2 linked regions of the Schizosaccharomyces pombe genome follow. The protein of the gene in region 1 interacts with the protein of each later gene in a biochemical or structural test. Each region holds a gene or a part of one and is shown on either strand. Other genes may lie near its edges.

Region 1 (3,759 bases):
CAAGCCAAAATTAGTAAGATAGGAAGTCTATGAGAAATCATGCCAATTATCAAAGAGAGCGAAGGATGATCAGCCAAATGTAATTCATCCAATATTATAATGACAGGTCGAACTCTGGAAGTGAAGCTTAGTATTTCTAGAAGACAAACCATAAATCCTAAACGACCGCTTGCACTGCGGAATTGTTGGGGATCTCTCTTTTTTAACTTGAAATAGTTTTCTCTTTTGCAATGTAGATTATATTTCGGAGATAGTAGCGAGTTTAATTCTGGAACATATTCAAATAGTTCTCCCATGTAAATCAATTGAAATCCAAGAAATTCCCACAGCGATGTAAAGTAATCAGTAACTAGCTGTTTTTCTTCACGAAGAGTCTGTTGCATAATTAAAGAGACACATTTAAAAATGGCAGAATATGGAGAAAAATGATGACCTTTAAAAGAGCTCATTGCAAAATATCCAAATTTTCTTGCTTCATCGGCGACAGCATTAAGCAAATTACTTTTTCCAGAGCCCTTCTCACCGGTAACTGTAACAACTTGGCAATATGTAGCCTCATTATCTACTGGACGATATTTGAAAAGGTGTTGCTTTGGAAGTTTATCAACACGCTTAGCACTCGTTAGAAGATCGCGTTTTGAAGAAAAAGCTACAAGCTCGTGGAAGATCCGGACGTAATCTGAAGAATTGGTCAATAGTAATTTAGGAAACTTAAGCTTTTCTTGCTGTGGTTTATTTATAGATAACAATTTTTGGTCCAGCAAAGGAGAAGAGGTGATTGTAGAAAATTCTTGCATTAACTCAACAATCGTATAACACAAATCGGTAGCAGAAGAAATTCTTGAGTTCATAGACTTGGCAGTCATTTTTTGAATCAATTGATCAAGCGCTGGAAAGGCATCAGGACGACGAGGCAATACAGAAGGAAACTGTCTCATATGAATCGATTGAACAATTCTCATAGATTGCCCACCCCAGGGATATTGCTTGGTCAAGATAACATAAAAAAGAATACCCAAAGAATAGATATCGGACCTGGAATCTAACGGTCGCCCCACATTTCCAATTTGTTCAGGACTAAAAAACTGAAGTTTGTGACATATATTCTGGACTTGATAAAGACGCTTCCAGTTTAAGGAAGACAAGGTAAATCTGATAGGGGATACGCTACTCCCGATGGTAAGCAACTTTGCATGAATAGGGGCATTCAAATCATAATGGAAAGTGTCAAGACGAATTTCGCCATGCACGATTTTTTTTTCATGTAAAAAACATAAGACGTAAGAAACGCCAAGGGCAAACTTGAGAAATAATTTTAGATCCAAAGGGTTAGGATTCCCTAACCACTCATCCAGAATGTTAGGCCCAGGATCATCGTAAATAAGCGCACCTAAGGTTTCGTTCAACAGTAATATATATGCGGGAGCAATAGCATAATTTCTTCCATTTGGATGAGATGACAACTGACGCAACAAAAAGTATTCATTCTCTAGCTTGAAAGTTTGTTGGGAAAACTTAAAAATTACTTTTCGCCTTGTTTCTACATGGACGGCACGCACCAAGCACGCAGAAAGAAGAGAAGAAGGGTTCGATTGCGTACGAATTGGTTGGAACTGGAACTCTCCCAACTGAGAAATTGCATAATCAATTGCAACGTCCAATGACTTGTACAAGCTCATTGAGAATTTGAACTAAAAAAAATAAAAATAAAATCAATAATTATCCTTAATACGACATGTTAAACTGTAAATAATTAATATTTAGAATATAGTATAAAATGAGAAGTTGAAGGGGTGGATTTATTGTTAACTTTAGAATTTGCCGTCACCAATTAGCATGACAGAGGGTATCCTTATACCATTTAACAAAAAATGTGGTATGCTTCTTATTGATTTTAAAATGTAAGCTACGCAGTTTGGTATCTGATTTAAGGATACGTAGAACTGCGGTGAGTTTTCCTTGTGATCTATTATATTACGATACACAGGTTGTATAAGTAGCAACTGAGTATAGGTATTGTATTAACTGGGTTATAATGTTACCTATCACTAATATAGCTCATAACTGAACTGAGGAACGAGGTTCAGCAGTAGCTCTATTTATAGTATTCAGATAATATTGATCTTAATAGATTATCATTAAGATCAATCTCCATATCGTATCATACATGGTACGATATATAATTAGAACATGTGACATATAGTGATACTCAACGTAGTGTATTATAGCGTAGTGTAGTATTGCTGACATTGCCCTCCCCAAGATTTTCTATGTAAATCTGAGGATAAGTCATATGTTCTCAGATATTTAGATTATTGTTTTTAATATAATCATTGACAATTGCTTTGTCCGCTTGTAGCGCTGTAGCTAATGTAGTCCATCCTGACATAATAGTACTCGGATTTAGATTCGAAATGTACTTGACATTTAAGTAGAGTACTTGTTCTCTGTTTTTATGTTCTAGGATATGAAGAATTGTTCCAATATCAGACTCATCAATGGTAGCGTAATTGAGTTCTGAATTATGTCGATACTTTTCTAGGTGAGAAACATGAAAAGTAGATGAAAACATGTGCTTGATTGAATCTGGAAGATCCAATTCATAGTTGTTTGGACCCGACTTCTGTAACACATAGAACGGTCCTGCAAAACTAGGTGCTAATTTATTGGATTTATGAAGAAAACCTGTTTTCGTTCTTTTGACCATAACTAGGTCTCCAGGTTGAAATTCTTCAATTTCTTGTATTTTCATATCGAAATACTTTTTCATCTTTATGTTGTTTGTATTCAAGTGTTCTTTAACTGTTTGAAATACTTGGATCGTTTCCTGAGAGTTTTCGTCAGTTTTGTCACTAAAGCTAGGTAACTCTAAAGGTGATAAAGCTGGTGAATAGCGATGTACTATCTCAAAAGGTGTCATTTGAGTTGCTGAATGTATCGCATTGTTGTAAGATTGTTGCACTAGGGATATATGATCTACCCATGTATTTGGATGTGTGCTACATACACATCTTAGTAATTTCTCCACAGTTTGGTTTGTACGCTCAGTTTGTCCATCAGTTTGTGGTCTGTATGGTAACGAAAATTTCATAACGAAATTATATTTATGTGCGAAATCTTTCCACGTTTGGGAAGTAAAAATATGATCATTATCTGCAATGATTTCTTTTGGATTGCCGAAATAAGCAATAACTCGTTGATCAAACATTCGAGCTGTTTGCTCTGCTGTAATGGATTTCGTACAAGGTACTAAGATTGCCATTTTTGAAAATCGGTCAACTACCACGAAAAGTGCATTATAACCAGATGATTCTGGTAAAGCTGTAATAAAATCCATTGATAAAGATTCCCAAGGTCTTTCTGATGGGGGAATTGGTTGTAAAGGTCCATAAGGTTTATGATTCCTAGATTTGTTTATTTGACATGTATGGCAGTTCTGTACATATTCTTGTATTTGTTTTCTTATTCCTTTCCACGTAAATCTACGTAATATAATGTTTGTAAGAAGTTCAATGCCTGGATGAATCAATTTACCTTCTTCATGATACTTTTTAATAATTGTCCTAGTCAGCTGAGTATCATTAGGTAATAAGATTTGGTCTTTACTGTTAATTAGTAAGCCATCTTTGAGTTGGATATTCTCTTCCACTCGTTTGTCTTCATTGTTTAGTAAATTCAACAATTTTGTATCATTCGTATATTCTGTAACCACTTGGTTTTTAAAATCATCGGTTATCGAGATTTGATTAACAAAGTTGA
Region 2 (3,759 bases), on another chromosome or scaffold:
TTGTATTACTTCACTCTATTTGCTTTGATAGAGGGAAGCACTTCAAAGTACGGGAAAAGTGTGGGCGTCATAATAAATATAACTATTCAAACCGTAAAAGCTGGAAATTCATCACTAACTTCAAGTTATCGTAAATTTGGGAAAACTAGAAGACTTTGATAGACAACTGGTATAAATGTCATAAAAAGGGGGAAAGAAAGGCTAGGTACTTTGACATGTTGAGACTTTTATGTAGAAGAATTTTTTTCATAAAAGTCAAGTAAGTAAGCTCGAGCATCCTTATAAAAGTCGTTCACAACCGACAGAGATTTGCTAATCAAATCCAATGCAATTTCCTCGCTCGGTAATTTCATTACACCATCACGACTGCGTAGAGATCCGTAATTTTGGATACGTTCACAAACCTTTCTCATTTTTGTAAGGCCCAATACAGCTGAAGATCCTTTAAGGAAATGCCCCAACGAGGAAAGCTTCTTCAAATCCTTAGCCTCTAGGGCCTTTTGGAGGTCGGCAATGGTAGTCTCTGCCTGCTCAAAATAATTCCAAACAATACTCTTACTAAATTCATGCTCATCATCATCATCCATCTCAAGCAACTGGTCAAAAACGGAATGATCAATGAGCTGTTTGTCTTGGATGAGTTCATCCTCAAATGACATATCGTAAGCAATTACTGAAAGTTCATCCGACAAGACACCAGCCCCAACCAAAGCTTTGACTGAAGCAGCGGGAAGATTTTTGGCATTCGCATGGTCATCGCTAATAGAATTGGAGATGTCAACGGTCTCCTCCGTGCCTTCAGGTGCGCCAGCCGTCTCATTAGCAGCCAATTGTTGATTGTTTTCACTTTTGCTCGAAGATATACGTGACGTTAGAGCAACATAAGCAGGATTTGAGGTCAGTGGTAAAGAAGTGTCATTCGCTCCAGAACCATTCATAACCCGATAAGCATGGGGGATCGCTGACCCTGAAGGAGAGCGTGCACGTTCAGCTATGCCAGAATCGTGAAGAGTCTTAGCAAGACTAGCGTTACGCGCCTGTCCATTTCTTCGGGCGACACGATTTTCGAAGTTTCGGTCGTATTTCATATACATGTTATCACGATATACACTCATTTTTTAGAAAATAATTAAAAGAAAATCCAAAAAAAAAAGAAAAGGGTTTAAAGTAAGAGCGAATGGAGAAGCTCAGCTAAATTTTATCAGCAGTATTACTTTGCAAACAGTAAAATGTAGCAATCGATACAGAATATTGTATCAGATTTAAGACTTTCCTTTTTTAACAACGATTTGAAATTAAAGCGAGGAAATGTGAGTTATTGAAAGAGGCGTCGACAACACAAACAAATTATAAAAATAATGTGTGGTATGCCAGCAAAATGAAATAATCAACAGTTTCACTAACCTGTAGTACAGTACAAGGGCTATTACCAAAAGAAGAAAATGGCTTTACCACACAACCCACAAATACTAAATAGGATTTGTGGATAAATCTCCTTCAACAACGATTCTAATGGAAAAGAGTCAATACGGTTTTGGAGCTTTTTTTGCGTGTTCGAAACTTTGATGCCAAGTTTTAGACGCCACACAAACTTGCCTTCAGCTTCTGCTAAGTTCTAAAATTATCAAGCTCTACTAAAAAGGCGATATTATTGTTTTCGTATCAATTCAAAAGACAGAAAACCAATCCTCACAAGATTGTTAAGTGCTCTCTCTATAATTAAGTTCAAATGCAACAAGGGTAAGGCAGAGAGTAGAGACTATGGTTTTGCCTGTGCTTATGTCTGATTTTTAGATATTCTAATGTAGTAAATGGGAGACGGAAAGTAGGTAAATGCCGCGAAAGAATTGTTTGCAAAACTCACACTTGGGAGTGACGCCATGCAACGTAATAAAGCAGTCAAATGTACCGATACACAACCACCCAAAACGATAAAGTATATTAATATAATGACGCTACGTCTCACTATACCCCGAATTTCAATGATTCCTCCATATCAGTCAGTGTAGAAAAAAAAGACGAACTGGAGATGGAAGAACAGTTTCCCACCATCTTTGGCATTTTCGGCCATTTCCTAATAAGCGCAGCAATTCCTGATGGCTGTAGCATTGCACATTGGGAGGGAAGAATGATACTCTTTTTGCAGATATTTATTTCGATATCACTACATAGGGCCTATCCTAGTCATTGGAAAGGTGCCAATTTCCAGCGATATTCTCCTATTTTTAGAAATAATTAAAAGCTTTGCACAAATTTCATTCCTACCTCACTTATTTCGTACATCTCAGAAGTTTGATGAACTTGGGAAATCCCAACATATGACAAATGCAATGGGAAAGATAATTGATAGTTTTCCAACGAAAAAGTGGGATTTAATATGTATATGAGAGAGGATAGTAAAATGTGCCAAATTTTGGGTTAACTAGAGGCAATCTAAAGTATGAAGTAAGTGAACTACTAGACAAACATCTACAGAAACAAAGTATGGAAATAAATGAAGATAGACAAACGAAAAGCATACTATTTCGAAAACGAATCAATATTTAGTCAATTTTTAGATCCAAAATCCATTCATTTAAAAACAGACCATGCCATCTATTTGGAAGCAAAACTGTAGTTATTCACCTCAAAGCGAAAGTATAAGGAAAAAAAAATAAGCCGAGACAATTAGGTTACTAAATACGTCTTCTCATGGTTTCGGAGAAATGAAAAGGGAAAAAAAATTAAATGTATACAAATATATGTATATGTATATGTGTGTTTGAGTCTGTCTATATGTATGTATAATAAAATAAAAACAGAAAGAAGAACAAAAAAGATTCAGAACAAAGAATCAATCAAAAATCCATCTGTCTATATAATAAACCAAAATCTTTTCACTTCAATTTCACCACCGACTAATTCGAAGTAACGGCATTGATAGCTTCGGCAAAGTATCTTACATTGGAAGTGTTGAGACCGGAGATGCTAATACGACCATTCTTAGTGAGGTAAATGTGATACTGTTTAGCCAAAACATCAACTTGCTGGGGATTTAAACCAGTATAACAAAACATACCAATTTGGTCAGTGATATGCTTCCAGCTGTGTTTATTCTTAAGGTCCTTTTCAAGGATGTTGCGAAGAGCCTTACGCATACTCTTAAGACGTTCGGACATGCCTACAACTTCACCAGCCCACTGTTCACGAAGTGCAGGGTTGCTCAATATATGGTTGGCAATTCTGGCCCCATTGACGGGAGGGTTGGAATACAAAGCACGAATGAGAATCTTAGTTTGGCTTTCGATACGAGCGGCTTCCTCAGCATCGTTGGCTAAAATGCTAAAGCAGCCAGCACGTTCACCATATAGACCCATGTTTTTAGCAAAGGATTGGCAGAGTAACATGGGGACATTGCTGGAGGCGAACAGACGAGTGGCATAAGCATCACGAGCAAAATCACCACTGGCAAATCCTTGGTAAGCCATGTCTAAAAGAGCAAAATGGTTTTTCTTTTGCATTGTTTTGAGGATATCATCCCACTGAGCTTTCGTAGGATCTACACCAGTTGGATTGTGAGCACAAGCATGCAATAATATAATAGAGCCATCAGGAGCTGAAGTTAAATCGGACAACATGCCTTTAATGTCCAACCCACGAGTAGCAGGATCATAATACTTGTAGGACTTAACGGTCAAGCCAGCTCGAGAAAATACATTCTTGTGATTTCCCCAAGTAGGGTCAGATACGTAAATAGTCTTTGATGGATAAAATGAAGCA

Evidence for each region. Proteins that work in one complex are often made in the same cells at the same time.
Region 2: of the proteins of mak2 (region 1) and mpr1, one has a biochemical effect on the other in vitro, tested with the Schizosaccharomyces pombe proteins (one study listed by BioGRID).

Annotation. Positions count from the first base shown.
Region 1 is NC_003424.3:4,025,034-4,028,792, reverse strand, and holds the start of mak2 (phosphorelay sensor kinase Mak2), read right to left. Parts: upstream 1,775-3,759; 5' UTR 1,680-1,774; coding exon 1-1,679. Other genes in the region: Tf2-6 (retrotransposable element/transposon Tf2-type), read right to left, coding at 2,300-3,759. UniProt on the Schizosaccharomyces pombe protein: Involved in the control of the SAPK-dependent transcriptional response to peroxide stress. Regulates sty1 activity.
Region 2 is NC_003423.3:1,201,113-1,204,871, reverse strand, and holds the start of mpr1 (histidine-containing response regulator phosphotransferase Mpr1), read right to left. Parts: upstream 1,821-3,759; 5' UTR 1,116-1,820; coding exon 228-1,115; 3' UTR 1-227. Other genes in the region: aspartate aminotransferase Maa1, read right to left, coding at 2,898-3,759. UniProt on the Schizosaccharomyces pombe protein: Binds to the msc4 response regulator which is part of a multistep phosphorelay system that transmits oxidative stress signals to the spc1 MAPK cascade.